4 linked regions of the Lepisosteus oculatus genome follow. The protein of the gene in region 2 interacts with the protein of the main gene of each other region in a pairwise test. Links are inferred from orthologs where the notes say so. Each region holds a gene or a part of one and is shown on either strand. Other genes may lie near its edges. The genes, in order: rnf41, vps52, mfap1 and wtap.

The links.
Region 1: the proteins of vps52 (region 2) and rnf41 interact in binary tests that used the Homo sapiens proteins (3 or more experiments, as listed by UniProt). The link is inferred for Lepisosteus oculatus from reciprocal best matches to the Homo sapiens genes VPS52 and RNF41.
Region 3: the proteins of vps52 (region 2) and mfap1 interact in binary tests that used the Homo sapiens proteins (3 or more experiments, as listed by UniProt). The two-hybrid records come from large-scale screens. The link is inferred for Lepisosteus oculatus from reciprocal best matches to the Homo sapiens genes VPS52 and MFAP1.
Region 4: the proteins of vps52 (region 2) and wtap interact in binary tests that used the Homo sapiens proteins (3 or more experiments, as listed by UniProt). The two-hybrid records come from large-scale screens. The link is inferred for Lepisosteus oculatus from reciprocal best matches to the Homo sapiens genes VPS52 and WTAP.

The regions. Positions count from the first base shown.
Region 1 is NC_090696.1:15,789,532-15,796,495, reverse strand, and holds the start of rnf41 (E3 ubiquitin-protein ligase NRDP1), read left to right. Parts: upstream 1-3,941; 5' UTR 3,942-3,993; coding exon 3,994-4,164; intron 4,165-6,645; coding exon 6,646-6,917; intron 6,918-6,964. UniProt on the Homo sapiens protein: Acts as E3 ubiquitin-protein ligase and regulates the degradation of target proteins. Polyubiquitinates MYD88. Negatively regulates MYD88-dependent production of pro-inflammatory cytokines.
Region 2 is NC_090709.1:39,252,977-39,260,007, reverse strand, and holds the start of vps52 (vacuolar protein sorting-associated protein 52 homolog), read right to left. Parts: upstream 3,007-7,031; 5' UTR 2,976-3,006; coding exon 2,895-2,975; intron 2,328-2,894; coding exon 2,240-2,327; intron 1,130-2,239; coding exon 1,077-1,129; intron 372-1,076; coding exon 296-371; intron 1-295. Other genes in the region: rps18 (small ribosomal subunit protein uS13), read left to right, coding at 5,247-5,249, 5,508-5,606, 6,571-6,657, 6,803-6,904. UniProt on the Homo sapiens protein: Acts as a component of the GARP complex that is involved in retrograde transport from early and late endosomes to the trans-Golgi network (TGN).
Region 3 is NC_090700.1:49,401,183-49,409,029, reverse strand, and holds the start of mfap1 (microfibrillar-associated protein 1), read right to left. Parts: upstream 3,018-7,847; 5' UTR 2,902-3,017; coding exon 2,820-2,901; intron 2,027-2,819; coding exon 1,810-2,026; intron 1,162-1,809; coding exon 1,029-1,161; intron 686-1,028; coding exon 498-685; intron 1-497. Other genes in the region: hddc3 (guanosine-3',5'-bis(diphosphate) 3'-pyrophosphohydrolase MESH1), read right to left, coding at 6,029-6,159, 7,228-7,468. UniProt on the Homo sapiens protein: Involved in pre-mRNA splicing as a component of the spliceosome.
Region 4 is NC_090697.1:50,788,372-50,795,691, forward strand, and holds the start of wtap (pre-mRNA-splicing regulator WTAP), read right to left. Parts: upstream 3,009-7,320; 5' UTR 2,931-3,008; coding exon 2,903-2,930; exon of another isoform or gene 2,880-2,902; intron 2,005-2,879; coding exon 1,967-2,004; intron 1,881-1,966; coding exon 1,825-1,880; intron 1,741-1,824; coding exon 1,682-1,740; intron 1,002-1,681; coding exon 874-1,001; intron 1-873. UniProt on the Homo sapiens protein: Associated component of the WMM complex, a complex that mediates N6-methyladenosine (m6A) methylation of RNAs, a modification that plays a role in the efficiency of mRNA splicing and RNA processing.

The sequences.
Region 1 (6,964 bases), on a different chromosome or scaffold from region 2:
CCTTTGGGATTAAAAGCTCTTTGTAAAAGTTTTTTTAATTTTCTAACTGGGTGGGCAAAAATTACAACAGAAGCAGATTGTACCAAGCAAGTCTAACTGGAAAGTGTTAAAAGATATTTTTGTTTTATTTCAGTGCTTTTGTAATATTGTTGATGAGGCCTTTAAAACCTTCCGAAGCTGAGGGAAAGTGATCTAAAAAAACAGACATCAGTTGTCGGGTCAGTAATATTTTCCATTGTTCTAGTCCTGGCAGTGATTGAATTGAGCCAGGTGATACTGGCTAGCGTCCTGTTGGAGCTAGAAATGTGCATCAAAACATCCAGTAAAGTGTGTGGGGGTTACAGAGGTCACTTGGTTTTGATTTTCCACAAGGCACACTGGCTTTTTCCTGTGCAGGTGGTTCATGACCCCACGCTGGAAATTGGTCAGATTTTTCAGGAGTTTTAATTTGGCAGATCCCTCAGGTTAGTGTTACACGTAGAAAAATAAGATTTAGCATAGCCAAGAAATGGGAGGGAGGCCAGTCATTCTCTATATTGCTGTTTACTACCAATAAAATAATGGAAATCCTTCCTGTCTTGTCCACAGGGTGAAGACCAGCAGCAGAGGAACAGCCCATGTGACTGGGGGGGGGATACCAAGCACATAGAAGATGACCACCACTTCTGCGTGAGGTACCGAGCTAGCTTGGGTCAGCTGTCCTTCATGTTATGTGGGAATCAAAGACTTCTAACAGGGTTTTATGCTAGTAGCCTTTGGGTTCTGCTCTGTGGTTGAGCCAAAACCTTACCTGGTGAAGCAGTCAAAAAAAAAAGGGAACCACTCCTACAAAAGACATGTAACTTTTGTCCAGTCCAGCTGTTTGCAGTGCATTTGGTGAACAGCTTTTTGGAAAAGCATGGAACATTGACCTCCCTGGTACTACAGTCTTTCCACATTTAGCAGTGTACTGGGTGATGTGTTAACTTGTGTTAAATAGAACAAACAGACTTTGCAGGGCTGCTGTTTCAGCAAAGAACATGTTCCTTATTCTCAGAGGTGCTTTGTACTTGACTGTGCCTGTTGCTGTATGATTCTCTAATTCACGGTCACCACATGCCTGTCTTTAGACAGCTAAGAGTGCTTTAACTCAAATAGAATTTTAATTAGACACGCGAGTCAGGATGTGTATTTCCTGTGATGATGTATTCATCTTTGATGCGAAGCAAAAAGAAACTGAAATGTTTGAATTTGCATTTATTAACCACAGTACACAGTTTGCTGTGTATATGGTCTGCTGCTGTGAAGCACGGTAGACAGACAGTATAAGATTGCAGGATAAGAAATGCAAGGGAACATCCGCATGGGAGTGACTCACTACTTTGTGTGCTATTTACTGTATATATACAGTACCAGGTTTGCTGTTTGAGTCTCAGCCGAACTTATTTACTGTAAACGCTACATCAGTGGTTCTTAATCACTTTTTCTGTTTTTTCTCCATCCGGCTCCTTAATAACAAATTCTTATTTTTTTAATTTTCTTTCAGCTCTTTAGCTGTTATATGCTTTTACTAATTGGCATCTACTTAGTCTAACTGGAATTGGCACATAAGCAGAAGGAAAACCAAACACACAGCACCTGAATGTTGGATAAATTGGCATTCCCATCTGTGACTATTCAGCATAAACTTGTCACCTAACAAGATGTTTTATAAATCAGGGATTGTTAATTGCAAGTTGAGGCGACACTATATGTTTGTGTGCTAAAATTGTAAAAAATGAAAATTTACTTTTTAAACCAAGGGCTCTTGGTGTCTAAAAGTAAGCAAGCAGATTGATTCTATTAATCAGTTAGCACTGGTGATCATGGGTTTAGTCCCTGTAGCTCAGGGTTCCCCTGGGTGTGGTTAAAACAAGAACATGTCCATTGGATCGATCTGTGCATGCTTGCAGAACTACTAAAGGGTTACAGCACAGATTAATCTGTGCGCTTTTAATTAAATCTCTATACCAGAATAATATTTGGTCCTGGTCTTGAGATTTTATCCTTTTAGCTGTAGATGTTCTTGTGCTTGTCATTTTCCCTCTTCTAGAAATCTGATCTTGCATGTACAGTATATACTCTTGCACCATAACCTAAACACCAAGTTTGTTGATTGCTTAAAAGAATAATTGTATTTCAAAACTAACCCATGCGTTCTAATCCAGTTACAACTTCATTTTGTATTAAGAGTTTGATTCAGTGATTAGTTTTAGCATTCTAACTGATGCATTAACAAAACATACAAAAGGATGCAGACATCTCTACAGGGTGACGGAGGATGAATATTGCTGCTGTTTCTAAAGTAATTTATTTTCTTCTCTGAGTTTAGCAAAGTGAGCTAAAAAGGCATTGTGAATAAAGACAACAGATTTTTTCCTTTCGTTCAGTCAAAAGAATACAGTGCATTGGCAAACATGGAATTAACTGACTCATACAGAGGTATTCTATCCAAGCATTTTGGTTTCATAGACACCCCCTTGATATTGCTTATATATTTCTTGGAGGTGTCTAACTATCTATTGTATCTATTGGCATCTTGGTTAAGCCAAAGCTGTGACCTCATGAAAGTTTTGTTTTTGCATGACTGTGCACCTGTCTGTCAAACACAGAATTGATTTATAAATGCTAGCATTGGCTCCACACAGTCTGGCGCCTTGATATATCCTCAAAATTCTGACATTTAACGTCCTTTGCCATTTCATTCATTGAGTGGATGCTAGAGTATAGTTTCTTCACTTTGTTTTTTTTAATAGTGCAAATAAGGTTATTAGTTCATACAAAGTTCAGCATTTAATGCTTTATTATTAAGTAGTTGTGGTTTCGCATTCGGAACAAATTTAGAATTGACATCTAAATGTAAAACAAAAACTGTCTAAAACATAAAAGGCCTGTATGTTAGCTGGAATGTGGTTAATGAAACAGTTCACAGCAACATGGAGCACATTCTCTTGCTGAATGTCCCCTGCAGTGGCTACCATTAATAAGCTGTTCATTTGTTATTTTCATTAAATGTAGTAATGGAATAAAAACCATAAGAGAACAGATTTAGAGAATATTTTTTTTCCCTTGGCCATGCCGTGGTAATGGAGGTTTGCGCATAGCTTGATTGTGTTTGAACTACAAGGCTCAAGAGCTGCTTTGGTAAAAAATCAGCTTGCTGAAGAGACCCTTTGACTCAGGAGCACTTCTCTTGCGTGTCTGTATTGCACACTGTCCCCGTGCTGCACCATGCATTCAAAACCCAGCTAGACTGCTGTGTGCTTGAATCGGGCATTTCTAACCCCCTGCCGCTTTCCGTCCTTCCCAGGTTTGATGGTTTCTGTAATGCGCCATGGGCTATGACGTCACCAGGTTCCAAGGGGAAGTGGACGAGGATCTCTTGTGTCCCATTTGCAGCGGTGTCTTAGAAGAGCCTGTGCAGGTACACCTGGCGATTTCGCGTCCTGTCACACACACTTCCTACTGTGCCCTGAATAAGCCCAGTCCTTTCAGGGGGGAGCTCATAGGATGGCATCCATGGGACAGACATTTATTTGATGTGTTGCTTACTTTGTTTTTTTTAGTAGTGTTTTGTCTGTGCTTAGATAGAAACTGTAAAATAAGTATGTTTGTGTGGTTAGAAGTTGACTGTTGGGACATGCTATCCCAAGCTTATGGTAAAGGCTTTGTTCAACTAGAATTCATTTTCTTTGGAGGAACAAGTAAAGGTTTATTTCATGCTGAAAGAAAGAGACAACATTTCGGCTGTGGAGCCTTCTTCAGGTGTGAAGTTCAGGTCATTTATTTTGGTCTTACTGGGTATTACTTAGTGTCATTCATGACTGAATTGATTTGTTAGATAACTGCCTCACCCTTATTTCTGCTTATTTATCTAGTGACGTAGTTATGTATAATGTTGTGTAAACTAAAGACTGTGGTGTTGAAGTAAAAATATCCAGAGCTTTGCTGTAAAGAGCATACTGGAATCTTGAAATGACTTCTTCACACAGAAATAATGTATTCATTTCAATGAAGTGTCATCATCTTCCCTGTTTAGTCTCAGCTTTATTTTCTGACTCGCCCTGTCCAGGGACCCTCATCCAGTTTCATCAACCAAGATCTGTGCCTGCTTGTCCTCCACTGAGACAGAGTGACAGAAAGAGGGTAGGGAGGAGGTTGAAACAGATGTTTGTGTTGTTCAGGGACATTTGTCTCTGAGCTGGAAGGCTAAAATCCTAGCAAAAAAGTATAATTGTAGTGTTTTGCAATGTGGGATCTTGAGATAACTGAGATCTTAGCTGGTTTCGTAAGACTGAACACCATGTGCAGCCAGGGTGGCCCGGCCTGTTTCTGTACTGCCGCAGACCTACAGATGTTTTTAGAGGAATTTGGCATCCCTTTCAACATCAATACATTCTACATTCATTATATTCAACGGTTGAGTCCCTGTAGCAAGGCCTTGGATGAAACTGAAGCCAAAAACTCTTTCTGTGTCTGGGTTTGGCATAATGGCCACTCATGTTGACGTTTACCTAGTTTTTTAACCCCTGATGAAAAGCCAAGTATATTGTTCCTGTAGAGCACAGCTGAGTGAGCATTAGGGCTGTTTGTGTTCCCTGACAGTTTCTCATCTGGGGGTATTTAATGGCGACCGATCTTTTACTCCACAGTCTAAAATAGCTTCTGTAATCGATTCTATTCTTGTTTTTCTGTGTCTATTGCCTTGGGGCTGTTTACATAAGAGACATTGCACAGACATGTCTTTTAAAAGCATTGCATGCTTTTAAAAGTTAGCATGAATCCCAAAAGACAATTTGACCACAGTTTCTAAAGTGTATTGAAAATCCAAGATGCATTTTTGAAGTATTACTGGTAATAATCTTCTGATGTAAAAACATTTAACTGTACTTTTAACTCCAGGTATGGAAGCTGATTATCGCAAGGGTTTGTGGAGCTTTTAAGGAGTGATGAGAGATGCAGAGGGGAGGGAGTGATGGGGGAGGAGAGAGATGTACTGATCTGCTGTGAGGGGACAAAGTGACAGAGCAAAGGGATGCAAAGATCCCTCCTTTACAATGTGCCTGTTTGCCTGTCTGCACTGCCTTTCTGAGCTGACAATATGAAGAAAGAGGAGGATAGGTAGTGTCCTAATCCTTGTCAGGTTAGGAGAAAGACTATGGACCAGTATTAGTCATGCAGAGTGCTGTTTATACGGAGCTTCAAATGTATTTCCTGAATGCCTTAATTCAGTCACTGCTGTCATATCCGAGGGCCTATGAGGTGAGTTTTTTTTCCCCCCACTGTTTTGCTTTTGAGCTTTCCAGCATAGTGACATGCAGCTACTGTATCCTTAGTGAAATGTTTTGTCTTGGGATACATGACAAGGAAAACCAGATAAGGCTAGTGCTTCTTCGTTCTAGAAGTCTGCTCTATGCATGCACTGCCCGTACCGCATTCATGTTGAAGTGCGGACCCTGGCTCGCTGCTGTTTTTCTCCCAGGCTGCAGACCTGTCTAGTCTGTTTGCTCTTGAGCATGTTGCAGAGGTTTGCGCAGCGAGCTGGCAGCTGTACAGCCAGGATAGGAATCCAATGCTTAGAAGAAACAAGTTTATGCATTTTGTGATCAGAATGTTTTTTTTCACCCACTTTAATCTTATTAGCATTGATCCTTCTTGATATAGCTGTTTCTTAAATTCTGTGATTTGATTGGTCTCTAATATGGGTTTATTAAAAAATAGAACATGTCTCAGCTGAAGTATGACTGGCTTGTATTCTGCTGGCGAACATTCTTAGACAAAAGCTCTGGCCTTGCTTAATTTAAAATTTCTGTACATTATTTGGAGTGGCCCATTACTGAACACTGGTGGTCAGTAGCTGTCAGCTTTACAGCTATTTCTGGAAAATTAAAGGCTTAGTCAATTTCAGTAAACTTTAATTACTCTACTTTTGACAGTCCTACTTGGCTAAACGTACCAATTGAGTCTTCTCAAACATTGACTGTCTTCCAAATTTTAGCTATTGCATTACCAAGGTGGGCAGCCTTGCCTCTGGTACTGTGTGGTTTCAGCTGCACTGAGTTTTGAAATGCTCTGTTGTATTTGCGCATGTCACTTATTCTTCAAGTGCTCCAGGAATGTGATTTTTATACTCTTTCAGAGTCCAATTGATCATATCTGTTCTGTATAGAGCTCTCAATTGGGGCAGGAAGTAAGGGATAATGCAGGTATTTTAGTCCTTAAAAATGCAGAGATTTGAAGCTTGTTAAGGAGCACCATGAATAGGTTTTTCACATACAGAATATTTACTGTTTTTTCTTTAAGGGCAATCATTAAATCAAATGTTGCTTATTTCTTTGGTTGAATTAGAGAAATCATTGTGAATGTGGCATACAGTTACAGTTTATAGAAGTGTTACTTTTCCTAATAAAGTAATTTCAGTGCTTGTAACAAAAAGCCATCAAAATGGAAAGACTCCTATCCCACAGTTTGATTTGTTTCTCAAAAGCTGATTAGCTGAAGTAATGAGTTAAATTCGACTAATAAACAGAAGAGACTGGAGATCCCAAGGAGCAGTACTGTGAAATTCTGCTCGTTATAAAACTGTGCCTAACTTTATCCATTTCATTTCGTATATCCTCTCCACAGGCGCCTCACTGTGAACATGCCTTCTGCAATGCCTGCATCACCCAGTGGTTCTCCCAACAGCAGATCTGCCCAGTGGACCGGACAGTGGTTACGCTGGCTCACTTGCGCCCTGTACCACGCATCATGCGCAACATGCTCTCTAAGCTACAAATAACCTGCGACAACGCTGTGTTTGGCTGCAAGGCTGTGCTCCGCCTGGACCAGCTGCAGTCCCACCTTAAAGACTGTGAGCACAACCCCAAGAGGCCGGTCATGTGCGAAGAAGGCTGTGGGTGAGTAAGTCTGCTCTTGGCCACCTGATACTCCTGTTTCATTTTGC
Region 2 (7,031 bases):
CCCTGCGCTGAGCTGCGATCTCAGTGGTGCTGCTGTGACCGAGGCCCCGCCCCCCCTGCGCTGAGCTGCGATCTCAGTGAAGGCTCCATGCCTGAGGCCCCGCCCCCCTGCACCGAGCTGCGATCTCAGTGGTGCTGCTGTGACCGAGGCCCCGCCCCCCCTGCACCAAGCTGCGATCTCAGTGGTGCTGCTGTGACCGAGGCCCCGCCCCCCCTGCGCTGAGCTGCGATCTCAGTGGTGCTGCTGTGACCGAGGCCCCGCCCCCCACGAGGAGGGGAGGGCCCAGAGAGGATACAGTCCCTGATGGAGGCCTGCTCGATCTGCTGCAGCTCCGCCTCCACCTGCTTGGAGTACTGCCTCAGGTCCACACCCTGGGAGAGAGGGTCAGTCTGGGGTCAGTGTGTGTGTGAGTACCGCCTCAGGTCCACACCCTGGGAGAGAGGGTCAGTCTGGGTCAGTGTGTGTGTGAGTACCGCCTCAGGTCCACACCCTGGGAGAGAGGGTCAGTCTGGGGTCAGTGTGTGTGTGAGTACCGCCTCAGGTCCACACCCTGGGAGAGAGGGTCAGTCTGGGGTCAGTGTGTGTGTGAGTACTGCCTCAGGTCCACACCCTGGGAGAGAGGGTCAGTCTGGGGTCAGTGTGTGTGTGAGTACCGCCTCAGGTTCACACCCTGGGAGAGAGGGTCAGTCTGGGGTCAGTGTGTCTGTGAATACTGCCTCAGGTCCACACCCTGGGAGAGAGGGTCAGTCTGGGGTCAGTGAGTCTGGGGTCAGTGAGTCTGGGGTTTGGGGTCAGTCTGTTGGTCAGTGAGTCTGGGGTCAGTCAGGGTCAGGGGGTCAGTGAGTCTTGGATCAGTGAGTCTCGGGTTTGGGGTCAGTCTGTTGGTCAGTGAGTCTGGGGTCAGTGAGTCTGTTGGTCAGTCTGTTGGTCAGTCTGTTGGTCAGTCTGTTGGTCAGTCTGTTGGTCAGTGAGTCTGGGGTCAGTCGGGGTCAGGGGATCAGTGAGTCTGGGGTCAGTCAGGGTCAGTCTGTCAGTCAGTGAGTCTGCGGTCAGTCAGGGTCAGGGGTCAGTCTTACCGTTTTCAGAGCCTCCTTCACCAGATCATCCTCCAGATTAGCCTGGATGTGGACTGTGAGCACAGAAACTGTTAGAGACACACACACACACTACAAACCCACACTCTCACACAACTCTACACTCGCTGTGTTAAAGTGTACACCACACACACACACTACAAACCCACACTCTCACACAACTCTACACTCGCTGTGTTAAAGTGTACACCACACACACACTACAAACCCACTCGCACAACTCTACACTCGCTGTGTTAAAGTGTACACCACACACACACTACAAACCCACTCACACAACTCTACACTCGCTGTGTTAAAGTGTACACCACACACACTACAAACCCACACTCTCACACAACTCTACACTCGCTGTGTTAAAGTGTACACCACACACACACTACAAACCCACTCACACAACTCTACACTCGCTGTGTTAAAGTGTACACCACACACACACTACAAACCCACTCACACAACTCTACACTCGCTGTGTTAAAGTGTACACCACACACACACTACAAACCCACTCACACAACTCTACACTCACTGTGTTAAAGTGTACACCCCACACACACTACAAGCCCACACTCTCACACAACTCTACACTCACTGTGTTAAAGTGTACACCACACACACTACAAGCCCACTCTCACACAACTCTACACTCGCTGTGTTACAGTGTACACCACACACACACTACAAACCCACACTCTCACACAACTCTACACTCGCTGTGTTACAGTGTACACCCCACACACACTACAAACCCACACTCTCACACAACTCTACACTCACTGTGTTAAAGTGTACACCACACACACTACAAGCCCACACTCTCACACAACTCTACACTCGCTGTGTTAAAGTGTACACCACACACACACACTACAAACCCACACTCTCACACAACTCTACACTCGCTGTGTTAAAGTGTACACCACACACACACACTACAAACCCACACAACTCTACACTCGCTGTGTTAAAGTGTACACCACACACACTACAAGCCCACACTCTCACACAACTCTACACTCGCTGTGTTAAAGTGTACACCACACACACTACAAGCCCACACTCTCACACAACTCTACACTCGCTGTGTTAAAGTGTACACCACACACACACTACAAGCCCACACTCTCACACAACTCTACACTCACTGTCCACTTCATCGAGGATGAACTCGTCAGAGGTCAGGTCCAGGTCACCCAGATTGAGAGCAGGAATGTCATCTGGGTCAGACTTCATCTGTGGAGAGAGACCGAGGGACAGCCGTAACATGGGGGAGAGGAGACACAGACCAGGGGGAGAGGAGACACAGACCAGGGGGAGAGCCGTAACACAGGGGAGAGGAGACACAGACCGGGGGGAGAGGAGAGCCAGACCGGGGGGAGAGCCAAAACACAGGGAAGAGGAGACACAGACCAGGGGGAGAGCCATAACACAGGGAAGAGGAGACACAGACCGGGGGGAGAGCCATAACACAGGGAAGAGGAGACACAGACCGGGGGGAGAGGAGAGCCAGACCGGGGGGAGAGCCTTAACACAGGGGAGAGGAGACACAGACAGAGGGAGAGGAGAGCCAGACCGGGGGAGAGCCTTAACACAGGGGAGAGGAGACACAGACAGAGGGAGAGCCGTAACACGGGGAACACACACCTGTCTCCCTGAGAGACCCCTGTGTGAGCAGTAAGAGGCTGGGAGCTGGCTATGGGGGAGAGGGACGTGTATACAAACACACACACGTACGAGTGAGCAAGGAGCCGCCCGCCGGCGCTCCCCGTGTCTCTCCCGGGGCGGAGGCGCTGCACGTACCTCGTCCTGCAGGTACGCCATGGCGCTGACAGCCGGGCCGGCGTCCGCAGTCTGGAGCACCGCCGCCATCACTGCCCGCATCCGGGTCCTCCGCCTCCCAGCAGCCCCCGCGCCCGCCTCCCGGCGTGCTCTGCGCTGAGGGTTTTTTTTAATGGGTTTTATTATTGAATTATTATTGAATTATTATTTTTTTGCCGTAAAGATCGTAGCTGATGTGAAGAACATGTCGCATGGACGGGATGGACCATTTCATCATACGACAATGTTCAGATTTATAAACTCTATATGTAGTTTTAGCTGTGTGCATATGCGGCGAACTCGAATATAAAATAAATTGGAATATATTCCAATAAAATGTATATTTAAATATAAAATAAATGATACTGATCGATACTGTCTTTCAGATGAAGTTAAAGAAATAACATTTAAGATTGTTCATAGATTTTTATCCGGTTAAATTGACACTTTCTGGATTCAAACACGATCGAGATGACTGATGTGTATTTTGTAATAATGAGAATGAGGAATCTGTGTTACGTGTGTTTGTTAATTGTTAATAAATATATACATAATTGTTTTGGATAGATTTTCAAAATGTTGTTGTTAAATATTTAAAGTTAAATGTTAAATTGTGAGATTTTTATATTATTTTATATTTTATTAGACCTGATTTGGATAAACGATACGTCTTCGTAATTAATCTGTTAATTATTTTGGCGAATCCTCCCTCTATTAATGCTTTTAAGGTAGAATTCTTTTTTTATTTAAACTCGATTAGACATTTAAAGAATCAAAAGGCAAAATCTCCGTCGGAACACGTGGAATTATGTAAAAAGTTTAATTTTTAGCTGTTATAATTGTGAATTCCTCCGGCTGTCAAGTGTCTATTTTTGTATCTGTTTTAATATTTTGTCTCCCCCCTTGTATTTCTGCTGTTTAAATAAAAACTTAATCTAAAAAAAGAGTTCAGCTCCCCTGTACGGTGGGCATTTGTACTACCCGCTGTCTCAGGAAGGCTGGGAGTATCGTTCAGGACACCAGCCATCCCGGTTCCTCACTTTATCTCCCTCCTTCCCTCCGGTCAGCGTTATAGGAGCTATTTTTGGGGGGGATTTATTGTTGCTGTCATTCTGTAAAGCGCTTTGAGAAGCCACCTTTAAATAATAATAATTAATAATTGCTTTTACTTATATAGCGCTTTTTCTGGACACTCCACTCAAAGCGCTTTACAGGTAATGGGGACTCCCCTCCACCACCACCAATGTGCAGCATCCACCTTAAAGGCGCTATATAAAATAAAGTTCATTATTATTATTATGATTATTATTATTATTAAAGGCGCAGACTTCCAGCTTCAGAGACGGCTTCTTCCCCTCCAGCTGTCAGATTACTGAACTCTGCCCCTCCCGCTGGCTCACACGGATGTGTTATCCAAGTCGTGTGTTATTAAACTTCTCGTTGTCGCTGCGGCTGTTCCGTGTTGATGTTTGTGGCGATTTATTTCATGTCTTTGGACTGGAGCGGACGGGCGCGGAAGCGTTTCCTCGCACTCGTGCAGAGGACAAACACACGGGGCGGGATCGTGTGAACACACTGGGACGGACCCAACACTACCGGCTGTGTCCGGTCCCGGTCCCGGTCCCGGTCCCGGACGGGCTGGCCGGGCTGGCGGAGGGGTTTCCAGCTCCCTGTCAGTGGGGTATAACTGTGGCTCTCCGCACACGAAGGTACCCCGCAGTCCAAACGCCTCTCTCGGTGAGGAAACTGTCCCCAACACCAGGCAGAACGGACCCCTCTGTGCCCATCAGGGGGGAAACTGCTTTTAACGCCACAGTGAAACACGCAGCCTTCGAAAGCCATGTCAGTCCCCAGTGCACCGCGCAACAGTACAGCCAATGGCGTCGTAAACCCAGCGCCCGCTGGCCCGGAGGGCACCAAAATATTAAATAATAAAGTCAGTCCGGCGAAGGTGCCGACGAGCTGATCCGAGTTTCAGAGTCGAGGGGGAAGGAAAACCTGGGGACACACCGGCCGCACAGGGGCCGGGCCGGCGGCTCTCTTCCGCACCGAAGGAAGACCTTTTCTTTTCTTTTTTTAAAGAATCACGGGGAGTCGTTTAAAACCGTTTCTTTTTTCTCCCCACCACCACCACCACTTAGAGCGCCGTCCTCTTAAAAAGGCAGCGACAGCGGCCCACAAGAAGAACTCGGTCCGTGTTTCCCCACCGGACGGCATTCGGGAGGGGGCGGCGGCGGTCGGGCGCCGGAACCGGAAGCCCCTCCCCGGAGATCCCGCGATATAGTCTCGCGAGAGCGCGGCCTCTGCCTCTTTGCGACGGGACCCGCGGACAAGATGGTGAGAGGAGACGGGCTGCCGGGGAGCCGGCAAGGCATCCGCCGCCATCGCTTGCACACGGGGGCGCCGGCGCCCCGGCCGCCGCGGGGCAGCCTCTGCCGGACCCCTGCCCGGCCCTGCGGCTCGGTTTGGGTCGGAACCGGGTGCGGGTCTGTTTTAAAACTGGCGCTCGCTGCTGTGCTGTGTGATCCGGCCATATTCCCTCCGAGCCGAGCCCGCTAACCCCCCTGTCTCTCTGTGTCTCTCTCTGACCCGCAGTCACTCGTTATCCCCGAGAAGTTCCAGCACATCCTGCGTGTTCTCAACACCAACATCGATGGGCGCAGGAAGATCGCCTTCGCCATCACCGCCATCAAGGTGAGACACGGGGCTGTGAGTGGACCGGACTGGACCGGGCTCTGGGCTGACCCGCTGTGTGTTCAGGGGCAGGGCTGGGCTGTGGACTGAGCTGCTGTGTGTTCAGGGTCAGGACTGAACTCTGGGCTGACCTGCTGTGTCTCTGGGTGTTGAGGGTGTGTGTTCAGGGTCAGGGCTGACTTGCTGGGTCTCTGTGTAGACTGTGTGCTCAGGGTCAGGACTGGGCTCTGGACTGAGCTGCTGTGTGCTCAGGGTCAGGACTGGGCTCAGGGCTCTGGACTGACCCTGTTGGTGTGGTGTGTTCAGGGGGTGGGCGCTGGACTGACCCTGCTGGTGTGGTGTGTTCAGGGGGTGGGCGCTGAACTGACCCTGTTGGTGTGGTGTGTTCAGGGGGTGGGCGCTGGACTGACCCTGTGGTTGGTGTTATTTGTATTCAGGGGGTGGGCGCTGGACTGACCCTGCTGGTGTTATTTGTATTCAGGGGGTGGGCGCTGGACTGACCCTGCTGGTGTTATTTGTATTCAGGGGGTGGGCGCTGGACTGACCCTGCTGGTGTAGTGTGTTCAGGGGGTGGGCGCTGGACTGACCCTGCTGGTGTAGTGTGTTCAGGGGGTGGGCGCTGGACTGACCCTGCTGGTGTAGTGTGTTCAGGGGGTGGGCGCTGGACTGACCCTGTGGTTGGTGTTATTTGTGTTCAGGGGGTGGGCGCTGGACTGACCCTGTGGTTGGTGTTGTTGTGTGTTCAGGGGGTTTGCGCTGGACTGACCCTGTTGGTGTGGTGTGTTCAGGGGGTGGGTGCTGGACTGACCCTGTGGTTGGTGTTATTTGTGTTCAGGGGGTGGGCTCTGGACTGACCCTGCTAGTGTGGTGTGTTCAGGGGGTGGGCGCTGGACTGAGCCTGTTGGTGTTGTTGTGTGTTCAGGGGGTGGGCGCTGGACTGACCCTGTTGTTGTTGTGTGTTCAGGGGGTGGGCCGGCGATATGCCCATGTTGTTCTGAGGAAGGCTGATATCGACCTCAACAAGAGAGCTGGAGAGCTGACCGAAGACGAGGTGAGTCTGGGGGGAGAGGGGGCTGTGTGTGTGTGTTGGGGTGTAGTTGGGGATGTCTTGGTGGGCAGGTGGAGATGTGTTGGGGTCTAGATGGACGTGTGGGGGCTCACTGCTGTGTGTGTTGGGGTGTCTGGGGCGGGGGCAGGTGGAGAGAGTCATCACCATCATGCAGAACCCCAGGCAGTACAAGATCCCAGACTGGTTCCTCAACAGGCAGAAGGACATCAAGGATGGAAAATACAGCCAGGTAAGACTGCAGTGTCCTGAGGGGGGCGCAGCACCCTGCGGCCTGTGGTCAGTTACTGCTCCCTCCTCACTGGGGTACGGGTCTCTACAGTGCCCCCTTGTGGGGCTGCAGGCTATACAGACCACTG
Region 3 (7,847 bases), on a different chromosome or scaffold from region 2:
AGCCAGCAGAGCTCCATCATGAGGGCCTGCTTCCGCAGTCCACTCTGGCAGTGTACGCATTCACAGTGACCTGCTCACTGCTTCTTACACTGGCAAAGCCCCAGTAAAGACACTGCTGAGCAGCCCTGCAGGTCCTCAGTAAAACGAACGTTTAGCTTCGAGGGGAGACTGCTGTAACAGCATATTTCTTCCCAGCACAGACTTCACATTATTCTGTTCCAATTCTGAACTTTAGAATTGGAATACAGTAATATGTGGATCAGAAAGCTTCTCAGACTCTGAAACACGTTTAACACACTCCACGTGTTCTTACAGCAAAGAACGAAAAGAAACTGAAATAATGTTCCTGCCAAACGTACCAGTTCTTTACTTGTCTGCAGTCAGATGCTTACTAAACTTTTTGATAAATTATTAGAACAATAACGGTCTGCGTCACTGAAAGAGCAAAACCTTCCGATCTTGTATTAGGACCCTCCGCCCAAAATGGCACTACCCACTTGCGAATGAAGACGGGTTTGAGGCGTGGTTCGGTTTCGTCCTCGCTGTCAGTATACTCTTCATACTCCGACTCGGACTCCGACTCCTCTCCCGACTTCCCCTCCTCTTCCACCTCCATCAGCTCCATTTCCTCGTTCTTTCGCTCCTGCGCCCGCTGACGCATCATGGCACGCCGCCTCTCGATTTCCTACACACAAACACCGGGGGGAGAGGGGCTCACAGGGGACTCTTCTTTACCATCAGACAGCATCTTAACAGAGCACTAGCAATGAAAAGATTTGAGAACAGCAGGAAATAATCTTCTCACGTGTCAGGAAAACATCAAAACATTACAACACGAGAAGTCACACAAGGGAATACCATCTGACCCATCTTGGCTTGTTAGTAGCTAACTGATAAAATTTCAACAAACCACTTCTTGAATAATCCCAGGACAGTCAATTTATAAGCAAACTACTGTCCCAGGAAAGACACCGATCTGCACTTTCATACTAGAATCCAGTTATTACACCCAATTCCTCTGCGTTTACCTCATCGTCAACCTCCTCCTCCTCTTCCTCTTCACTGCTCTCCTCTTGGTCTGGATGCCAGCCCCCCTCATCCGACTCCTCGCTACTCTCCACCACCAGCTCCGGCTCTGCGATCTGCCTGTGTCGCGCCAACCTGAGGAAAAGCAGGGTCTGTGTCAGGGATAGGGCAATCAGACCTCACAGCAAAAGAATCAAAACGACATGACCCACAAATAATGTTATTAGTCCCACTGCCAGGCCGCTTTCCATTTTGACCATCACGACAATCAAAGTGTTATTTGGAATGACAGATCAACTATATAAAAATGACAGCTATACTGCATGCAGTTACATCCACTTAAAAACACAAAGAAGTTGCAATACAAAATTTACTGAAAAATAAAATAAATGAACTTCTGTTTGTTCACAATTTCCATTTTTAACTGATAATGTCACAATGGTGCAGTGATTAGCATTGTGTGCTATCTGATGGAGTTTGTATGTCCCCCCAGTGTTCATGTGGGTTAACCCTGGGTGCTCCGAGTTCCTCCCTCAGTTCAAAAGCACACCGGTAGGTTAACTGGACCTGGTGCGAGTGTGTACGCGTCTATGCCTCTCTGCCCCTGCCATGGACTGGCGTCAAGCCCAGGGTGTACCCTGCCTCGTGCCATTGTTTGCCCGGATGGGCTCCTGCTCCCCCATGACCCTGAACTGGAGGGAGCGGTTAGAAAATGGATGGATGTCACCAAGTCAAGCCACTTGGGGATGTTCTCAGCGGATGAACACTCCCCCCCCAGGGTACCTCTCCTCCACGTCCTCAGTGACGCGGTTCAGCAGCCGCCTCAGGCGGGGGTCCGACACATCCTCCTCCTCCAGCTCCACCTCCGGCTCCACCTCCTTGCCCTTCTTCATGAACTGGAAATCCTCCTCCTCTTCGTCCGAGGACTCCATGGGGGCATAGTCCGGGCGCTTTCCCGACACATAGCGCTTCACCTTCACCTTCTCCATAGAGATCTCACCTGCAGCAAGACACAGCAACCCCATTACCTCCCTCCTCCGCATGAACACATGCACACACAGCGCTGCCCAAGAGAGGGGCTGGGGAGAGTCCCTCACTCCCTGCTTCTCTCTGGCTCCCCCAGACAGCGCACCTCTGGAAGACTGCAATAACACACAAGCGCTACATGGAACTCCCTTAATAGTCACAGAAATCTGGAAACGATGACGACTGGTGTTTTTTATTACCCTTTGCGTTTCTTGCGATCAGACCTGTTTGAATAATCAACACTAGGGCTAAAGAGTTTCATTATAACCCAAAACAATTATGATCTGTATCTATAGAACACACATAAACGTAGCATTTTAATTTCTTAAATGGATTCATACACTTCGCAAATCAACACAAAAATACCAACATTTCTCTATTCAGTAGTATTATCAAATACCATATATGTATCGAAAATATTGGGTCTACGTTTTCATTAGCTTATATGTGTATTTGTATCGAGTGTAAACAAATAATCTCCCGCTTTGTTATTAATTATTGACTTTAACTTTATATCATATATTTATTAATACCGATACAAGTATTTATCCAGTATTTCATCATGTCTTACAATATAAAATTAACTTAAATGTATAATTATTTAACATTTACTTCAACTAATATTTTCGTGCACTTTCACAGACAACCTGTAGGAAAGTCAATCATTTTGGACACATTCCTCTCGGTATTCTAACTTTCAAACCGAAAACAAGGGCCCGATGATCACCAGTCCTCGCTTTATGCGGAGCCTCAGTCCAACAACTCACCTTTCTCATTGCGCACCGGCACGGCTCCGGCCGTGGATTGAATCGGCGGCTGCTTCACGTTGAGAGAATTCGGTGCCGCCATGACTGGACGGTAAAAATGACAAAAACAAATGCAAAAGAAACAAATGTATCTCAGATCAGCTTCACAACACACTCAACAACTATCTCCTTCCTCTCCGTAGCAGAGAAACAGGAAATACGACACCAAGCCGCCGGATGTTGTTACAGTGCTTGGATTCCGAACTGCAACAAAAAACTACAGAGCTTCCTCCTTAATCTTTATTTTGGACCAACATTCATTAACGTAGTGGGCGAATGAAAAAAAACAACAACAAATTAATTCCGTAGGTTTTATAAACAACATGTTATAATCTATAGAAATATTATTTAAAATAGCAATGATTATTTTTATTAAAATATTTACTGGAATAAAATTTGAAAGCACGAAAACCTAGTGTAAATCTACGGTTTGAAGCTGGTTTGTGTTTTAGTATATTTTATAGAAAATAATGTACTGTACGTCAACATTGCATATAAGTTAACACTGCTAAGAAAATGTATCGCTACATTGATTTCTCTATGCCGTGTCCCATCAAAAACATCTTTCTTTACATTTGAACTAAAAAGACGAGAACATGAATGGAGGATATTTTCAAAAGTAGAATAACGTGAGTTTAGTTTTGGAGTTTCAATTTTTATCATTTTGTGCCGATTCTTATTCGAGAATTATTCACCTCAGATTCCTCGCCTTCTTCTCTCACACACAACACACAACCACCTTCCGGAAGAAATAGGATCATGCAGTAAAAGAGTCGTTGTTTTGTCACATTACTTTATTTTATTCAAGAACTTAATTTACATTAGAAAAACAAAATTACAGGAATGCTATTACATCTGGGAGTATTAGTAGTAGAGCACTGTAACTGCCATTTTATTATAAAAGTAGTTGTTTCTGGGTTTTTTTTTTCATTCTCGTGTTTTCAGACTGGGAGGAAAAAGTGAACATATAGTATATTGTAGAAAATTGTTGCAAGAAGATTCTGTCTTCTATGGGGTTAACACTGAAGTTCACAGAGGTCGGTCAGCTGCGTTCTTCCACTTGCGACAGAAACAAGGCCAAAGTCATTAGAGGAAATGAGACTCCTCTGTTCTCGGGCAGTGCTTTTTCTCACTTGTCTCATGCGCAACTGGAAATTCACATGTAGGGAAGAGATGATGAGAACACAGACCGCGTCAAAAACTGAGACACCATATAATGTGTACCAGAACCAAGGTCCAGGAAATCCTGCAACAAGACCAAGACCATTAAGCAATCACCCACCATCAGAATATTGCTTTTTTCTGGTGTCATAGTTGACTATCCAGGAAATATAGGGGGCAGGGCAGGACTACACTCTGAACAGGACACTTGTTCATTGCTAGGTACACATACAGTACACACAGAAAGAATTAGTAGACACCAATAAACACAGTCATCATTACATTGGAAAGTATATGAAAACTGCATTTCACATCTATAAATCCCATCAAGAGTCTTAAAAGATTTGCATGCAATGATGATGTGCAACATGTGTTTGCTGAAAACTAGATATTGCTATATAAACCATGCAGAGGCAAACCATAAGTTTCCATAACAGAATAATGATTTGTCACTAATTCATTGTTGCATTAAGCATTTGCTTGTAAAAGTGGAAGATCTCTAGAGCCCTACTACACACACTACAGATTTCCAGGTTAAGAAGTTCCAGGTTGAGTTAGAATTTCTTACTTACGTAATCCCAAGATTTCAATGTAAAACTCATTGTCATATTCAAGGTAACCTAAAAATAAAAAAAATAGTAAAACTTAGTTTAAGTTGCATTTCTTTTAGATAATAAAAGATATGATTAGCAATAGTTTCATATTTCTTTAAATTACTTCTCCTGTCTTTTTATGGTTTCATAGCTACCATTAGACAATAAAAGCAAAACAAACCTTTGCAGATGAGACTATCCACCAATCTGGTATTTTTACATACCACAGACTGCTTTTCCCCATCGTGTTTTAGGAGTTATATTAAAATTAATAATTGTTTTCACATTGTACTCACTTCTCAGGAATATATTACTAGTCTTGCCCTGTTTTACCTTTGACTCCAACAGTGAACACAGCAAGCCAATACAGCATGAGAACCTTCATGTTTCTGTCTCCGTTCCTGCAGTATGCAGATCTGTAGCTTCCTGTTTGTGCTGGCAAACTTGTAGTTTCAGTTGGAAACTGTTGTGAACACGTTTTAAGAAACAAAACACACCCCAACACCTACAGGGTGGGATGATTCTGCAGAGACAGGAAGCTGACATGACTGAGGCAAATATTTGGTTTCTATTTGTTCCCTCAGTGGCATAGGCTTACTATAATACCACTAAGCCTATTTAAAGTTTTAAATGTTTCATGAGATTGTGAACCTCAAGTAGTGTGGGGTCTTATGGTGTTCAAAACAATGGTTATCTTTATGACACTGTAGCTGTCTCTCTCACAGTGCTCAACATTTGAACATAAATCAGGGTAGTTTCACACATACACTTTTCAGTTTGCATTGCTCTACAGAAAGCAAACGTTCTTTCAAATGTTCTACAGTAACAGTAAATAAAAGCTTTCTGTAACTATGAAATGAGCACAGTATTTACTGTAGTTGCTTCCTATTTGTTGTGTTGCTTTCTCATAAGGAAACAGAATGGTTAATTTAGCATGAGTGGTTTATATATTGAGGTTTGGAGATCTTGTCTCTGTCTCTAACCTGACCACAAATGGCTGCAGATCTTCTAATAACAATGATGTATTACAACCACTGTCTTTGACAAAGAAGTTGCAGATGAACATTTTATTATGTGTATTCTGAAGCAGAGAATACATAATATTGGTTCTACGATAATTATGTTGTAACTATATTATTAGACAAACTGAATAAGTGTGCACCTTGTACATGTGGAATTACTGCATGCATAACCTATAGTCTGTTAAAACAAAACGATTATAAAAAGACCGGGACAGAATACAATCATTCGTCTTTAATAATACAGAAACAACCAAAAGACAACGCGAGCTGTAAGTGCCGAGGCCAGTGCTATCTAGGGCAGAGCCAGTTCTGCTCCCGTCAGGTGAGTAAGGAGCCCCGCACCGGAGAAGAGGTAGTGTAGAGATTGTGGACGGGGTGTCTCTGCCGATGGGAGTCAGGACTCGATGCCTCTCTCCCTGAAGAGCTGCTGCAGCTTGTCCTCCAGTGCTATGTTAGTGCCCCGCAGACGCTTCACCACCTCGGCTGCCCACAGGAAATACTCCTGCACCCGCTCTGCTGTCCAGCCTGAAACAACGCAAGGTCGGAGTCATCGGCTCCACGCCCAGCAGATCACACACATCAGGACGTTCGAGTCTGCTCACTCTGAAAGGGGTTGACCACATTGTAGTGGAAAGTATTAAATTACCCTATGCACGCACATAAGGAAGTTCAAGTTATACTGAAAGGGCAATAACAGGGAATAGCTATCTTGCGGTAAAGTAAAAGGGGAACATGCACAAAGAAGGTATGCAAATATTTACAAGACCAGGATGTCTCCGAGTTCCTGTTGCGAAACATATACTCGAGCCATAATGTTTTTTTTTAAAACCCTACAAACGATCTTACACGTTCAGTCGCAGTCACACAAATGTCAGGCTACAACACAACAAAAACGTATTTTTGTTGTGGCCCAAAGCTATCATTTCTTATTGTGACAAAATCTGAAACACTGCATAATGGCTCACATCACAAAAAAAGTGATCTATAAAAATGTATATGTACAGCTGTGAAGGAGATCGTATTTTCAAATAATAATAATAATTGCTCACACTTATATAGGGCTTTTCTGGACACTCCACTCAAAGCGCTTTACAGGTAATGGGGACTCCCCTCCACCACCACCAGTGTGCAGCATCCACCTGGATGATGCGACGGCAGCCATAGTGCGCCAGAACGCTCACCACACACCAGCTCTCAGTGGGGAGCAGAGTAATGAAGCCAATTCATAGAGGGGGATTGTTAGGAGGCCATGATTGATAAAGGCCGATGGGAAATTTGGCCAGGACGCCGGGGTTACACCCCTACTCTTTTCGAGAAACGCCCTGGGATTTTTAATGACCACAGAGAGTCAGGACCTCGGTTTTACGTCTCATCCGAAGGACGACGCCTGTTTACAGTATAGTGTCCCCGTCGCTATACTGGGGCATTAGGACCCACATGGACCGCAGGGTGAGCGCCCCCTGCTGGCCCCACTAACACCTCTTCCAGCAGCAACCTTAGGTTTTCCCAGGAGGTCTCCCATCCAGGTACTGACCAGGCTCACACCTGCTGAGCTCCCTGAGCCTCTCTGTGGCTGCCCTGTAGGTGACTCACCAGTGGGAGTGCAGCGGTTCAAGTCCCTCAGGTTGTACAGTTTGTCAGCCAGTTTGACCAGCTTGGCCTGGTGGCTGCAGTGGGGGGCGTGCTCCACCTGCAGCCGTTTCCTCTCCTGTTTGGGAAGGGACCTGTCGTCGGTCACCTCCTGGACGATCCGCGCCACTGTCGTCCCAAACATGGCCTCCAGCTCCAGCAGGGTGGTGTCAGTGTCCTCCACTGTGTCATGGAGCAGTGCAGCCTGCAGGGGGGCACAACAACGTGCTCACTGACAGCTGACCACACATTTGAACTCCTCCAGTGCTGGAGGTGATACAATCCTAACAAGATGTAAATTTAATCAACGGATTCAAGGTAATAAATTAGGCAGTGTTACAGACAAATCAATATACTTCTCATTTACTTAACCATTTCATACCTGCAGAAACACAGCAAATCCATTCCTAGAACATCTGTTAATGCAAAAATGAACACTGCAACTGATGTAGTGCACACTATTCGGGTTACACAAGAAAATATCTTTTCACATTGTTTATTCTAATAAGATTGCAAGTAAACTACACATGCATACCCAAATGTGTCACTCATTTGGTACAGATTACAGCAGTGAGAGCAGCCCG
Region 4 (7,320 bases), on a different chromosome or scaffold from region 2:
TGTATATTAATTGTAACCGCATAGTGTGAGGCATTTACATATATAAAGTTACAAATAAAAACACTATTCGCTTGGGATGTGTAGATGTGTGTTTCTGGACTGAACACATCTACTGCTACATCTGTTCTTTTTCTTTTCCCATTTACAACTGTTTTTTGTGCAATATATGCCAGGGACCCGTGCAATACATTTATATTTATATCTATATAATCATATGTGGAATATAATTTTTCTGCGTACTGTTCTGTTCTAGTTTGTTCTTTGTGTCCTGGACTGTAACTCTTTTAGTGCACACCTCACTGTACTGATTGTATTGTATGTATTGTATTATTATTATTATTGTATCATTCGTTACACTGTGGCTGTGTTGCCTGTGTTAAGCTGCTGTTGCACTGCAGTTTCCCTCACAGGATCAATAAAGTATCTATACTTAATTAACACACAATGCAAATGTTTAAAGGGTGCAACTGAAACTGGAGCAGTTAGAGCCAACAGTCTTCAATTTCAGTAAAATACCCTCCCTTAAAGTTTAGATTAAAAAAATTGTAAAATAAGTTAACTGAAGCAGTACAGCAGTGTGGAGGAGTGTTAGGAGTGAAAGGCTGTGGATTCAAATCCCATTGCTGATGTACCCTTGAACAAGGTACTTAACTCATATCAATCTAATACCTAGCCAAATCAATGGGTACAAATTTAAAATGTTTTGGCAAAAAAAAACTCCATGCCAAATATGAAATAATTGTAGAAAGTATCTAATTCCAATAAAAAACATTAAACCTTATATTATCTATATATGCATTTTCTTTCAGGCCAATACTGTGATGCACACTTCCCTTCAACAAATACAACTTAAAAACAGTATTTGCTACTTACTGTACACTCTTGCATTTCCTGTTCTTTTGTGGCAAGCCTCATGACAAGAATGTTTTCTCTTCTTGCAGATTCTTGTTGCTGCTGTTTCAGCTTCTCTTCAGACTCCTTCAATCCAGTCACATCATTCGCTAAACCAGAATTGGGCAAATAAAGAGGAAAAAAAACTTAACATTTCAAAAAACGCAACAGAGCATTCAAGAGCAGCTTTACCATCCTGTAAATTGATCACCCCAGATTTCTGAAGCTAAGCATACTTGACCCTTGTTCGGGGCCAAGATGGGAAAAACTCTAAAGAAAACCATGTTGCTGCCATTAAGTGACATTTGTGTCAATTTGAGGATAAATGTGTCACTTCCCTCTGGAACACAATTTCCAAACCAATACCCTTCTATTGTGAATAAGGACACTGTACTATAGGAGGTGGTCTTAAACATTAAACTAACATCCTGATCACATATTCAAAGGTTCAATATACTGTTCGAAAGAATAGGGGGGCTAACCCACATTCTGGCAAAAATCCACTTCGGACTTGCATTTGCTGGGAAGTTAGGCACCCAACAATTGTTTTCTCACATCAATCCAGGAGGAGGCTGCACTTAAACTGGTTGAAAAGCACTGCACAAATGCAGGTATTAAAATCTTGAGAGACAGTATATAAAGGTTTCTGAATAGACTGCTTAACAACAGGTCTTGTAAGAACCAATTAAGCAGCAGATGCTATGTATACGTGGTGAAATTAAGTAGCCTTCACAATTTATCTATTCATTTTCCAAATACAATTTTTATTAACATGAAAACATGAACTTACAGTTCAGTTCTGCATATTTTGCTTCCAGAAGTTGGACATATGCTTCATGCTGCTTCCACCTGAACAGAAAAAATAACATGAATTGCACAAGGCCAAATTAAGACGCAACGCCCCAGTTCCCTCCCTGCAATACAGATATTTACCTTACACAAAGTTCCTCTCTGGTCAGGGTCTTCAAGTCAGATTCACTAAGGCGAACCTAATCAAGCAAGAAGATGTTTAGTTGAAATCTCAACATTTAAGATCACTATGTTGAATGACCTGTATAACATTTCCTATACTGACCTTCTTTGGCAGAGGTTCTTCATTAGTCATTCTGAACTCTGTAGGGGAAAGAGAAAACAAAACAATGGAAAGTCTCAACAAAATGTAGGAAACTTTTTTTTTGGGGTGTGCAAGAAGATCGACACTCAATTAATCACAGATAAATGAAGAGTAGACTTTGACGTGGATTTCACACTGTTATGGTGAGTTAACCAAAAAGAAACAGGCGGCCACAAAAGACAGGTCAACATTATGCGACTTCTTAAAATAGTGTGGGGGGGGGGGGGGGGGGGAGGGACAAAAACTTGTCAACAATTTTACAATCCACATATATTAGATCGACATTATCTCTTACAAATTACATCTTTCCGCAGCAAACTAACTTTAACGATAGCCTCAATCATTGACTCCATCACATAGGCTCAGCTACAACCATTGATTTCAGATGGTAAGACAGAGGTGTACGGCGTCTGAAGTTGCGCTTCGGCTGATAGTGCTAGCAAAACGAAATCCAAAATATTCGGACTAGAAAGTTTCCAGAATTTTCCAGTAAAGCTACAACCAATTCAAAGTATTTTTCAGCTTGTGTAAACACCTTCCCCATCAAAACAATTAAAAAAACACCAGTTAAAAAGCTATCAACATCTTCTTGGGACACCTAATTTATTTCAAGTACTGCCAAGTAAATGCTCAGTAAAGAGCCAACCTAACAGCTCAAGTCCTGTGAGTATGTATATATAAGGTGACAAGGCGCTCGGTTCCACTGTTTTTCTAATTTTTATCATTTCTTTTCTCATTCAAGATAAAAAAATATCCTGTGGAGGTATCCGCCCTCCCCTGTCTTGCTAAAGCAGAACCATCATGGTTTTGGTATACACATCACGCTGTTTTCGTTACTTTTAAATACAAAGTATAAAAACACTTAGGTACAAACATGTAAAAAGACACTTTACGTACGTGTAACCGTGCTCGCCAAAACTAGCATAAATATCCGGGAATCATTATGTTGTGTTTTCGCTACCTGCCGGTTTCTTGTGTTTGCAGCTTCTCGCTGCCACAAAATGGCGCTGAAGGAAGAGTGTCGGACTCTCCCGCAGCCGAGACTCACAATCCTCCCCTTGATAACCACCGTTACACCCCTGAGGGAAGACTTACCAGACCCGTCTTTCTGCTGGCTAGAAATCCTCTTGGACAAACGCTATAAAACGTTAACAAAAGCGAAATTAAAAATAAAAACAAATCGGGAAATCTTTTTTTTGTCTCGTTTCTCCAAACACCGATGCTATTTGCCCAAATCTCTCGCCGCCGCCATGAGTGAGAGGAGGAGGAGCTTCCGCCGCAAAGCATCATAAGGTGGACGCGCGCAGAGCGCAGTGGGCCGGAGGATCAGCGCTCCAGACGGAGGGAGGCGCAAGTCTCTTCCAGTTGTCATAGAAATATGTTATTATTCAGAGAATCCACATCCTGTAATATCGCACACATCAACAAAGTTCAGTACATAGCTCGCTGTCTGAAATCCCCAGTGATGAATATGGATTTCAACATTTATGATAATAATAGTACGACTATGAAGACTTAGAGGAAAAACACATAATGCATAGATATATTCTGTCGGCACGGTGGCGCAGTGGCTAGCATTGCTGGGGTGCAATCTCCATGGAGTTTACATGATATCCCCCTCTTTGTGTGGGTTCTGTGGCTTCCTCCCACAGTCGAAAATGCTGCCAGGTTTATTGGCTTGTGGGAAAGCTGGCCCTGGCGTGGGTGTGTGCATGTCTGAGTTTGTGACAGTGTGTTTGCGCTGTGTGGCATCCTGCTCGGGGATATCCCATCATGCTCCTGCGGCTTGCTAGGAACAGGTTCCTGCCCCCCGAGCCCTGTAGTCGATAAAGCGGTTATAAGATGGATATATAGATGGATAATTGTGCTTAAAGGCACTGTATAAAGTTTGTACACAGAGGCTTTAAAAAGTGCAACAAATACTGTTGTTTCAATACTCGTGCACTGTTTAATGCTTCACAGTGTATCATTAGTGTTGTTGTTATATCTATAAATTGCTATTTATGTTTTCATTTGGAATTAAATGTGTAGTTTAATCTTTTGACACCCTGTTCCGTCAACTCCAAATTCATGTATATTTCTGTATTCCATGCAGACAGCTTCTATCACTTGACAGGTATGTCTATTTGCAGGTGTTCATGATGGAATGTGGTGATTACGTGTATGACTCATTTACAGTCCTACTGTGATTTTATTAGGGGTTAGCTGTCACAGGTGGTGATCCCAAAATACAGAATAATTTTAGCTTTTATAGCCAACTACTCCACCGAGCAATTACAAGAGTGCTAGGCCCCTTTTTCCCCACCAGAGGTTCTTCTTATCTCCCAGTACCTCCAGTGCACCCACAGACCAGACAAGACAGTCATTCTTCATAATATGCCATTTTATTGTAGTCTACCGATCACACAGAGTCCATGACAAAAATTACCCACATGCCAGCAAACCATATGAGCCCCATGGACCCCAGTTTCCAAAACCCAAAGTCCCAAAGCAAAAGTCTAGTAATGCTGTTTTGGGTCAGTGACCTGGTGTGCCTCCTTCTGCCACAGCAAAGACATTATGTGTTGTCTTAGGCATCCTCTTCAGTCCCGGCCAACCCAAACAATGTGGTCCCTCATGCTGAGTCTAGCTAAGTCCAGTTGTTAGGGGGGAGGACGATGATGCCGGGGTCTTCCTCTGCTGCTCTCTGTAGAGTCTCTAGTGTATGAGTCCTCTCCTGGGTCAAACAATGCAAACTGTGTTCCCCTCAAGTCTTCCCTCTCAAACACTGCCTGAGTTCTCCTGACTGCCTAGCCAGGACTCAGGACTCGTTCTTGGGAGGGCTGGGATGGGGCATGTACTGTAAATGTCCCATTTATGTGTTGCGTGTGGACAGAGCTAACTGCGCAGGGCCTCATTGAAGAACTGGCTGTATGCAGATACATTGTCTATTGTTGTATTGTAATGTATTGTAACAATACATTGTCTATGCTTACCCTCTTCTGGAGCCCTGCTCCCTCTCGGTCTGGGGCCCAGTTACATGCCACCTCTGAACTGTGCTGTAATTAACGAGCGTGTACGCAAGACGGACCTTTGACCAATGGGTGGAAGCTCAAAGAACAGGGAGAGAAAGGCATCAGCCCTTAGAGAGACACTGTTCTGTGTGACCTTAAAGTCAGTTTACTCAGTAAAGTCAAGTACAGTACTGTATTCTCTGCCCTAACTCAACAACAAACATTCAAGTCTTATATTTAAGGCTACAAACCATCCTGATTTTCCCAGTGCTGTCTTCCAGATAGCAGAATCAGAATGTCCTTTATTGTCCACATACATTGGAAATTTTCTTTTGGATTCACTGAGACAACAATTAAAACCAAGTAAACAAAACTGTAACTGTATGTAAAGGAACAAGTAATAGGTTTATTCCATGCTAAGAAGAGAGAAAACAGGTGGAGAGAAGAGGTGAGAGAGACAAGAGAAAGAAGAGGTGTTTTCTCTCTTCCATTTTCACCATGGAATAAACCTATTACTTCTTCCTTTGCACGCATGCTGACGCAGCTACCAACCTGAACCACTTTAACTGTATGTAACATATGTCACATGATTCATACAATCAATGCAATATAAATAACAAAACCATACAATACAACATAATACAAAACCATAAAACTCAAGTGTGAAACATAAGATTTAAGTGTGACCGTACAGTACATGTGCTGTCAATGCAATGTTGTGGAAGGAATCAGAATTTAAAAGAGTAACGGCACACAACATGAATGACTCCTTAAAAATATTTTCTATAGCTTTTGAATGTGAGACATTCTTTAAAATTAACATTGCTTTCCTGTAAACAATCCTAGTATAGATGTGGTTCAGCTGGTTCTGTTGAAGTCCCTGCCTCACACAGTGATATTGACAAGTATGGGTTTTGCAATACTGTCCCAATTTTCCCCTGTTTTGTCAATCACCCGTGGGTGGGTAAAACCAGGGCATGGGGGCATCACAAGTCTCATGATTGAGTCTAGGGACTCACAAGGGGGCCAGCAGTATTGATCACGGAAGCCTCCAGCTGCGGCCAAGAGGAGGATCATCACAGTAAACCTCTGGATTCCGGCTCTGGGAGCCAGACTGAACTTAAATTTGATTACATTTGCTCATTTGCTGCACATCTGTAAGTGAAGTAAATAGTTCATACTTACAGCCCAAGGCAAAGAGACACCAGGATCTTCGCCACTAGCAGAATGTCAGAAGGTTCCACAATGGTCATTTTTACAATATATACATTATACATTACCTGTTCTGTTGGATATGAAGGTTTAATTTCTTTGTTTGGCTATTCACTAGATTTCAATCTGACATATACAGTAGAAACATTTATTAAATTAGTACAGGTGGGTAGCTGCGTCAGCATCCGTAGGCTGCAAAGGAACAAGTTATAGGTTTTTTCCATGCTGAAAAGAGAAACATTCTTTGGGTGTGAGGCTCCACAGCCGAAACTTTGTATTTTCTTTCTTCTCTTTTCAGCATGGAATAAACCTGTTGTTCCTCTGCATTTATTAAATTAGATTACTTGACTGTAAACTCCTAAAATGGTATATTGTGTCAAATAATAATAATAATAATAATAATAATAATAATAATAAGGTTGTTCCTACAAATTTTAAGAATTTCAGACCCTCTGCAGTTTATCTCCACATACACAAAAAAGTTTGACAGTGCCATCTAGTGCTGACATGGTGCAAATATAGTTACAAAGAATTTTGATATTTTCTGTCTTGATGTCTTTGCTGTGTAACATGTAAAAAATACATTGCAATACCTGAACCTGATAAATGTTCATTTCAAATGTACGTTCAAAATTTAAGGCTGTTTAAGTTATATTTTTAAAATATGTATACTTGGTAAAAGCAAGTTAAGGGTTTAAGTAAATTTACAGTTAATGTTATTAGCATATAGATACTAATAACATCAGCAAAGTGTACATAACAATGTGCAAACCACTCGTACCAGGGATTCATTTTGAATATCGTGTAAAATTTTGGTCACCGCGTTTCATCATCATCACTTTCAATAACCGTTTATCCAACTTTAGGGCACGGAAGCCAGGAGCCTCAAGGCAGAACAGGGAAGACTCCAAGGAGACCTGATAGAGGTATTCAAAAATCCTCAATGACGAAGTGACACACTAGGCTTCTTCAGAATGAACCATGAAATACGAACCAGAAGACACAACTGGAAACTTAAAGTGGAAATATGGAAATGCATTTAAACCATTAAAAAACGAGAACAGGAATGCAACTTTCACGTCTCCAGAAATGAGCTGCACTGTCAATCTT